Canis lupus familiaris: one gene and its partner. Each later gene encodes a partner of the first gene's protein in a complex. Links are inferred from orthologs where the notes say so. Each region holds a gene or a part of one and is shown on either strand. Other genes may lie near its edges.

Region 1 (3,561 bases):
GCAGGTACCCAACTCTGCAGGAAAGTAGCCATGGGCCATACATTAAGAAATGAGCATGGCTGCATTCCAGTAAAACTTTATAAAAACAAGGGCAGCCCGGGTCATATCCATGACCCCCCCCCCGCCCCCCAGTCATATATCACAGTATGGATGTTCGGTAAACGTTCATAGGCTGAATTAAACAACCTACAAATGGAACTTTGTGGTTTGATTTTGCTACTTAGTGGGGTCCAGGGACAATTGCTGTTCATTCATATGTAAACCTGTTTCCAAGTCCTGTGTCAGCCCAGTCTTAACTGATGAGAATGGGGGCTCCTTTAGCCATGAGTTCCCCAAACAGCCAGAAGTCTGGTAGTACAGCCACCTGAGGGCTCCCAAGTTCAGACCCAAGGGATTTCAAAAGCATGTCCGACATGCTTTCTTTACTTTTGCTATATAAAACCAAATCTATTGCATCTTTTATTCATTGCGTGATATTCCTGCCTAATTGTCATGTAATATAATAGAAATAACACAAATCAGTAAATGTTACTATTAACTTGGCAAATTTTACTGTATCATGTTATAAAATATTTATGCATGTTATTCTTCATTTGAAATCTTTATATAAATTATTTTCATTTTTAAGTTTATATTATACATTTGTTGAATTTATTTGAATTCAAATATAGATTTTTATTTATTATTCTAAAGCTGTTCAGAATTCTTTATGCATTGATCATATAACTAAGCTAGGGTATAGCATATAAGAAATTGTTAAGTATTTATATTTTGGAAAATGACAACCTAAGTTTCAAAAATGGTTTCAAAAATATATTACATGTGATATGTAGGTAAAAACTTAAGTCTCGAGTGAGGAACTAACAAATAATTTTGTGGGGTAGGATATTTTGGTTTGTGTAAAATTTTAAAGAATACGTGAACATTTGTGGTTGATTTGAAGTATCTCCAAGATAATTCATTGTTATTTTCTATTAAAAAAAAAACTTTAGGGTCAGTTGGATCTCTTAAGGAGCAATACAGGCCTTCTGTATAGAATAAAGGATTCTCAGAATGCTGGGTAAGCACCTAATTTTTTTATTGTAAGAAACTTTAATTATTACAAATGTAACCTATGTTTTTTTGGGAAAAAGTCAACATAGAATTGCATAATGTAAACCTGTCCTGCATACCATCCCCACCTCTTATCATGAGTTCCATTTCTCAGAGATAACTGCTCTTAATAATTTGGTATATGTCCTTTCTTCTAGGTATATATATAAATATATAGAAATGATTATATATTTATATACTATATATAATCTCTTTTCTTTTTTTTTCTTTTTTTTTCTTTTTTTTTTTTAACAAAAATGGGATCATGCTATCCATACTGTTTTGCAACTTGTTTTTTTCACTTACTATATCTTGGACATCTTTTCATTCTGGTACATACAGCCCTGTCTCATTCTTTTTAAGGTAAGCCCTTCTTTTGGTAAATAAGTCAATGTGATGACCTTGTCTGCTAATTCATTAAAGTAATTATGTAGATTATTAGATTATCCTGTATCTCTTTGTCTTTTTAATTCTACTTTATTCCCCTGCAGTAAAATGAAAGGATCAGATAACCAAGAAAAACTAGTATATCAAATCATAGAGGATGCAGGAAATAAAGGTAAGCAGGTAAAGGAAGAAGCAGAAAAAGTCATCATCTTTAAGACCAGAAATAGGAACTGAGTTCTGGCTTCCCAGGATACAGATCCATATGTAGAGAATGCTTCCATGTATGTTAAAAGAAGGGGAAGTAGAAATATATAATATACATATGCTTGCAGGACACCCAGGTGTGATGCCGTTGCTGTTGCCTCAACGCAGGCAGGGGCTAGATGGCTGGGGGCCAGGATGGAAAGAAACTTCTGAATTCTGAACTGTGGGAATGTACTATCTATTCAAAATAAATCAGCTAAAACTTAAGGGTTTTTTTTTTTTTTTTTTTTCCCAATCCTCACTTTCTTTGACGGCCTTCATTTCTTTAACTTCATCTTATCTGTAACTTGTGGATAATCCATCTCTCTAGTTTTTGCAAAAACCAAAGGGATGTCCAGTGCAGTGTGGCAGTGTCTGACAGAGGTCCCTCAGCAACTGTTCAGTTTTTCTCTATCCCCTTACGGAACTATATCTAAATTGCTGTTAATCCTAGAGTTTAGGATCTGAGTCCAATGATAATTTCAACAATGTATCAACAATGATATAATTTGAAATATCATTCTTGTATTATTAGGTGTTTAATATTTTTAAAATAGACATGACAAAAGCCATTCTCTATTTTTAAAAAATCTATCTTCCTATCACATTATGCCTCTGTGCTGGGAAGAAAATAAGGTAACACATTTTCTTTTTCTTTTATTTTTTAATTTTTTTAATTTTTTTTTTAAGGTAACACATTTTCTATAAAATTCCACATACAACCCTTCTTTGAAATCCTACCTTCTTGTAAAGGGCTTTTAGTGGCTGTGAGAATTGCAGTCTTCCTTTTTTTCATCTCCTAAATATAGTGTATAAATAATGGGTATATATGCACACACATGTTCACATGCAGTTTTTTGCACTCTGTTGGCGGTGATAGCTGACCTTGGCCCAAACTTAAGTTATAATCTAAATACGATCTGAAGTATAAATAATAGGAAACAGAATTTGGGGTATAGGAGGGGGTGGAAGAGACAATAAGTTAATTCAGTAACATTCAAGATTTTTCTCCATTAAAAAGTATCTTTTTCATATGTTTTTAAAAAGGTGCCACACTAGGATTCCAAGAAATTTCTGGTTAGAAGACATAGCGCATAACTTCTTTTATCATTTTGCATACTTTTGTTGTTATCTGAGATTCTTACCTCTAAGTCACTGTTTTTCCTATAACTATGCCCTAGGAATAGTATACATATTTTGCTAGTTTTGGCACGTGGACTACAAACACAAATCCTATGGCGTTGAACTCATTTTACTTTACTTTCTTACAGGAATATGGAGCAGAGATATCCGATACAAAAGTAACTTGCCATTAACAGAAATTAACAAAATTCTAAAGAATTTGGAAAGTAAAAAGCTTATCAAAGCTGTTAAGTCTGTGGCAGTGAGTATTTTTCTCTTTCCTTCCCCCAAGTGTTCACTGTATGTGTATTGCTCCAAGTATGTTTCAAGATCTTCTTGTTCTTTAGGCTATGTCATGATTTAAAACTACTAGTCAAAAAGATTTTTAAAAATTTCGTTTATATTGAATTGGTTTGGAGATGTTACTTACATTTATCACTGCCTGGTTAATTCTTTGTGTCTTACCCCCTTGAAAAGGTAAAACTACTGTATTCTTCAGTAAAGAATTTTTGGAATCATGAACATTTTTCATGGATTTTCAGCGTGTAAGATAGTTTACTTCATTCTAGCAAATTAGATTACTCATTCAACAAATATCTATTGTGTGTTTGCTCTGTGCCAGGCACTGTTTGGGTGTTTGGGATACATTAATGAACAAGTCAGGGAAAGATCTCTGCCCTGATAAAGTGTCTCTTCTAGTATGTAGTATTTCTCCTC
Region 2 (4,058 bases), on another chromosome or scaffold:
CGTACATGGCTCTTGAGTTTCCCCTGAGCAGCCATGGCAGCGTCTTGTCTGCGTGACAGCTTGGACTGCAGGGTCCGCAGGGAGAGGGCGAGCACTTACGCATTATCTCTCCATCCATCTTGCACACGCGGACTGTCATCGCTTGGCCATATTCTAGTGCTATCTGGGAATTGACTTCTTCCAAAGTAACCTGCAGAAAGACCAATGGTGGAGGTGGGAGCCTTGGCTGCCTTTGCTATCCCAAACCACAAGACAAGACAAGCGGATAGCATCGGAAAAGCAGTGCCGTATCTTACGAAAGACGAGAGACAAGATTTCTTACTTCTATGCTAGGGTTTCCCGGTTGCACCTACATTTTAAAAGTGTTTAATGTGCAAAGTGCATTAAAGCTCAGGAAAAGAGGAGCGCTGAAACAGGAGAGGGTGAGCGCCAGATCTGGGCTCTGGGGCTGGGAAGGAGGAGGCGCGGTCAGTCCGGGATCCAGGGCGACACCGGGCGGGGGGGGGAGGGGAGGCCGGTGTGCGAGGGTGACCGGGGCGCCCAACCCAGGAGTGAACGTCCTCGGGCGGGGCGCGAATCTCGATGCGGAGTCCCGGGGTGGAGCCGTTCTCCCCACTTGAGCCTCAACTACGGAAACGACCTTAGAACCTGCACCTGCAGCGCAGCCGCGCCCGGGGCGCCCGGGGCGCCGTCGGGGTCCGCCTTGGGACCGGACGACCGTCCGCCTGTCCCTGTCCCCTGCTGCCCCCGCTCGTGCTCGGGTCAGTGAGGTCCTTAAAGGACACGGGAGAATCGAGGCCCGCCGCATCGTCACCTCTGGCGCCCACAGGGGGAGGTCAGGCACCGAGGTCCCGCCGCGCACCTGGATCGGGAGGTCGCAGAGCAGCGGGTCCTGCACCACCATGGCGAGCCCCTCCTGGAACACGTCCACCGCCTCGGAGTGCGGCAGCGCCTCCTCTTCATCCTCCTCGGCCTCGGGCGCCTCGGGCCGCGCCGCCGCCGCCTCCGCCTCGGCCTCGGCCTCCGCCGGCTCCAGGGCGCCCGCCCAGCCCCGCGCTCCGACCGCGCCGCCGCCGCTTCCGGCCGCGAGGGGCGGGGCTGCCACGGGGACCGATGGGAGGCTCGAGGCGGCCTGCCGCAGGGGCTGCTGGGAGCGCCAACCCGGCCCGGCCATTGGGGCGGCGGCGGCCCGGGCCAATGGGAGCTCGCGACGGGCCCGACGCCGGCGCCCCGCGGCCGCAGGGGCTGCCGGGAGCGCGCGGGGCAGCCATGCTGCTCTTCTGTCCGGGCTGCGGGAACGGGCTGATCGTGGAGGAGGGACAGCGCTGCCACCGCTTCGCCTGCAACACCTGCCCCTACGTGCACAACATCACGCGCAAGGTGATCACCCGCCGCCCCCCGCCCAGCAGCCGACGCCCGCCCCGCCGGGGTGCTCCAGCGGCCCCGCCCCCGCCCCCCGCCGTATCGGGAGCGGCCTGGCCTCACCCGGCTCCCGTGGCGGCGTCCCCGGCGGCGGCCCGGGCGGCCTCGTCGGAGCCGTGGCCGGATCAGGCCCGCCCTGTGCGCTGGCGCGGCTGACTGCGGGTCCGGGCCGACGCCGCCAGCCCCCGGGGAGCAGCCCGCGCCGCGCACCGACACGGCCGCCGGGCCTTTGCACGTGCTCCCGCTGCCCTCCCCGCCCCGCCCGCAGCCTCGCCGTGTTTGGGTCGTGCCGAGCAGCGTGGCTCTGGCGGACTCGGGTCACCTGCGGACACGCCTCTACGGGACTTGCGTGCCTGGGGTCGGTGCTGCGGCCCCAACCCGGGCCCTGGACGGAGCCGCGGCGCACCGCCCGCCCCGAGCTGCCCGCGGGAGTTGGGGCCGCCGCCGCGACGCCCGGGACGGAGCCGGGGGCCTGCGCGGAGGGCCCGGGCCGAGCGTGGACGGGGTGGGGTGGGGGGTCCCGGCTGCATCCGCCTCTTGGGCCGGCCCGACGCTGGAGCCCCTGGACCCGGGCCGAGCCCTGCGCCGCGGGTGTAGAGACGCGGCTGCCCAGGATCGTGCAGCCCGCGGGGAGGAGGGCAGTCGGCGGCCGGGTCAGCACCGCGCCCCTACCCGCGGCCTGAACACCTGCCGCCTTTCGCCAGGTCACCAACCGGAAGTACCCGAAGCTGAAAGAAGTGGACGATGTGCTCGGCGGCGCGGCGGCCTGGGAGAACGTGGACTCCACCGCAGGTGAGAGCTGAGGCCGCGCTGCCTTTGAGGAAGGAAGCTCCTAAAAATAGCGTGTGTATTTTCTTCTTTAGTGATTTATTTCTTACACAGGCAATATTGGCATAAACCCCAGAGACGTACAGGTGTGGGTTAGTCTCAAAGCCACAGCCTCTTAACATCGCATGACCTTGGTGGCCTCCCTCCGTTGTGAGAGCGTGAAGGGAGCCCCGCAGCACTTGGCCTCTAGCGTGGTCCTCAAGTGGCGGCTGTGCGGGGAGCAACCGATGGCAGTAATGAAAGTCGGAGCCTAAGGAAGAGTATATGGTCCATTTGTTCAGTTGTGGATCTTTTTTAAAATTAATTATCTCTAAAAAATATTTTATTTATGTATTCATGAGAGACGCAGAGACAGAGACACAGGCAGAGGGAGAAGCAGGCCCCATACAGGAGCCCGATGTGGGACTCGATCCTGGGACCCCCCGGGGTCACACCCTGAGCAGAAGGCAGATGCTCAACCACTGAGCCACCCAGGGATCCCTGGTGTAGATTTTTATTTTTAATTAATTAATTTATTCATTCATTCGTTTGTTTGTTTGTTTATTTATTTATTTATTTATTTATTTATTTTTCTTCCTGGTGTAGATTTTTAAAAGCTGATGGCAGAGAGCATTCACATGTTTATTTCAAGTCTTGTTTCCTGTCTGATAGAGGTAGATGTGACCAGGGAAGGAAAGAAGAGAGCCCTAAACACATCTGTGTTGAGCGGAGGAAGACCCAACTCCTGTTTAGTATTATCTTTTCTCCCCCATAGAAGAACATCTAAATCTGATATGGTAAAATTAGCATTGGCAGAATTTGCCAGGAAAGAAAAGAAGATGATTTTGGTACCTAATGTTCAAAGTGCTGTTTGTGAGTGTTTGAAGGCATTATCAAGCATAGGGTCAGTTTCCCGAACTGAAGTCACTTTGCCTTGAGGTATTTGGCAAAGGTGTGGGTTGTATGGTGAGGTCTTCATAAGAACGGCCTGAGGAACTGCTGCCGAGATGGATCCCTAAATTTAATGGGAAGTGGATTTGTCATCCCCTGGGGGCTCCTCCAGGAAGTTGAGAGGGCTTAGGTGATGGAGATGCACTTGGAAGAATCTGCCCAGAGTGGACCCCATCATGCACATGGTAGCCATAAGCCACATTTCATGTCACATTTCCAGCTAGTCTTCAACCAGATTTGAGAAGAAAAATGGGACTCAGGGAGGGGAGCAGGAGTGTTTTCCAGGGTCACAAGTCCCCTCAGTGTGAGAGTGTAGTGGGAATGATGCCACTAATTACAGCCTTTCAGTCATGGCGCAAGGTGCCCTAGGCAGGGGATGCCAGATGATTGGGGTCGGGGAGGGATTTGGTGTGTTAATACCTACCTACTTCTAGCAGGTGTGTTTGGTCATGAGCATAATGTGGGTCACTTGTTTTTCTCGTTGCCAGAGTCATGTCCTAAATGCGAACATCCTCGTGCCTATTTCATGCAGCTTCAGACTCGCTCTGCAGACGAGCCGATGACCACCTTCTACAAGTGCTGCAATGCTCAGTGTGGACACCGCTGGAGGGACTAGGGCCAGGATCCAGCTGTGTCATTGTCTGCCTACCTTGTTCCCTAGGGTGGATTCACAGCCAGGAGTGTGAACTGTTTGTCCTGAACTGTCTCTGCTGATGTGGCCAAAAGCTAACCCTTTCACGGGAGCTGGTCAGGGTACCAGCCCATCTGGCAGTCAGCGGATGAGCTCATTTATATCCAGGGGGATTGTGTGTGCAGGGAAGGGTATACATAAGTAAGTGTGTTCTTTTTAATATCCTGTTTGTGGATCTTGTAGGTAT

Evidence for each region. The genes of interacting proteins can lie anywhere in the genome.
Region 2: POLR3F (region 1) and POLR3K share a complex: the UniProt entries of both Homo sapiens proteins name them as parts of the RNA polymerase III complex. The link is inferred for Canis lupus familiaris from reciprocal best matches to the Homo sapiens genes POLR3F and POLR3K.

Annotation. Positions count from the first base shown.
Region 1 is NC_049245.1:5,111,747-5,115,307, reverse strand, and holds part of POLR3F (DNA-directed RNA polymerase III subunit RPC6), read left to right. Parts: intron 1-992; coding exon 993-1,060; intron 1,061-1,434; coding exon 1,435-1,455; intron 1,456-1,583; coding exon 1,584-1,651; intron 1,652-2,993; coding exon 2,994-3,106; intron 3,107-3,561. UniProt on the Homo sapiens protein: DNA-dependent RNA polymerase catalyzes the transcription of DNA into RNA using the four ribonucleoside triphosphates as substrates.
Region 2 is NC_049227.1:40,886,493-40,890,550, forward strand, and holds the start of POLR3K (DNA-directed RNA polymerase III subunit RPC10), read left to right. Parts: upstream 1-1,220; 5' UTR 1,221-1,269; coding exon 1,270-1,380; intron 1,381-2,126; coding exon 2,127-2,214; intron 2,215-3,668; coding exon 3,669-3,796; 3' UTR 3,797-4,058. Other genes in the region: SNRNP25 (U11/U12 small nuclear ribonucleoprotein 25 kDa protein), read right to left, coding at 100-190, 863-904. UniProt on the Homo sapiens protein: Core component of RNA polymerase III (Pol III) which synthesizes small non-coding RNAs using the four ribonucleoside triphosphates as substrates. Can mediate Pol I proofreading of the nascent RNA transcript.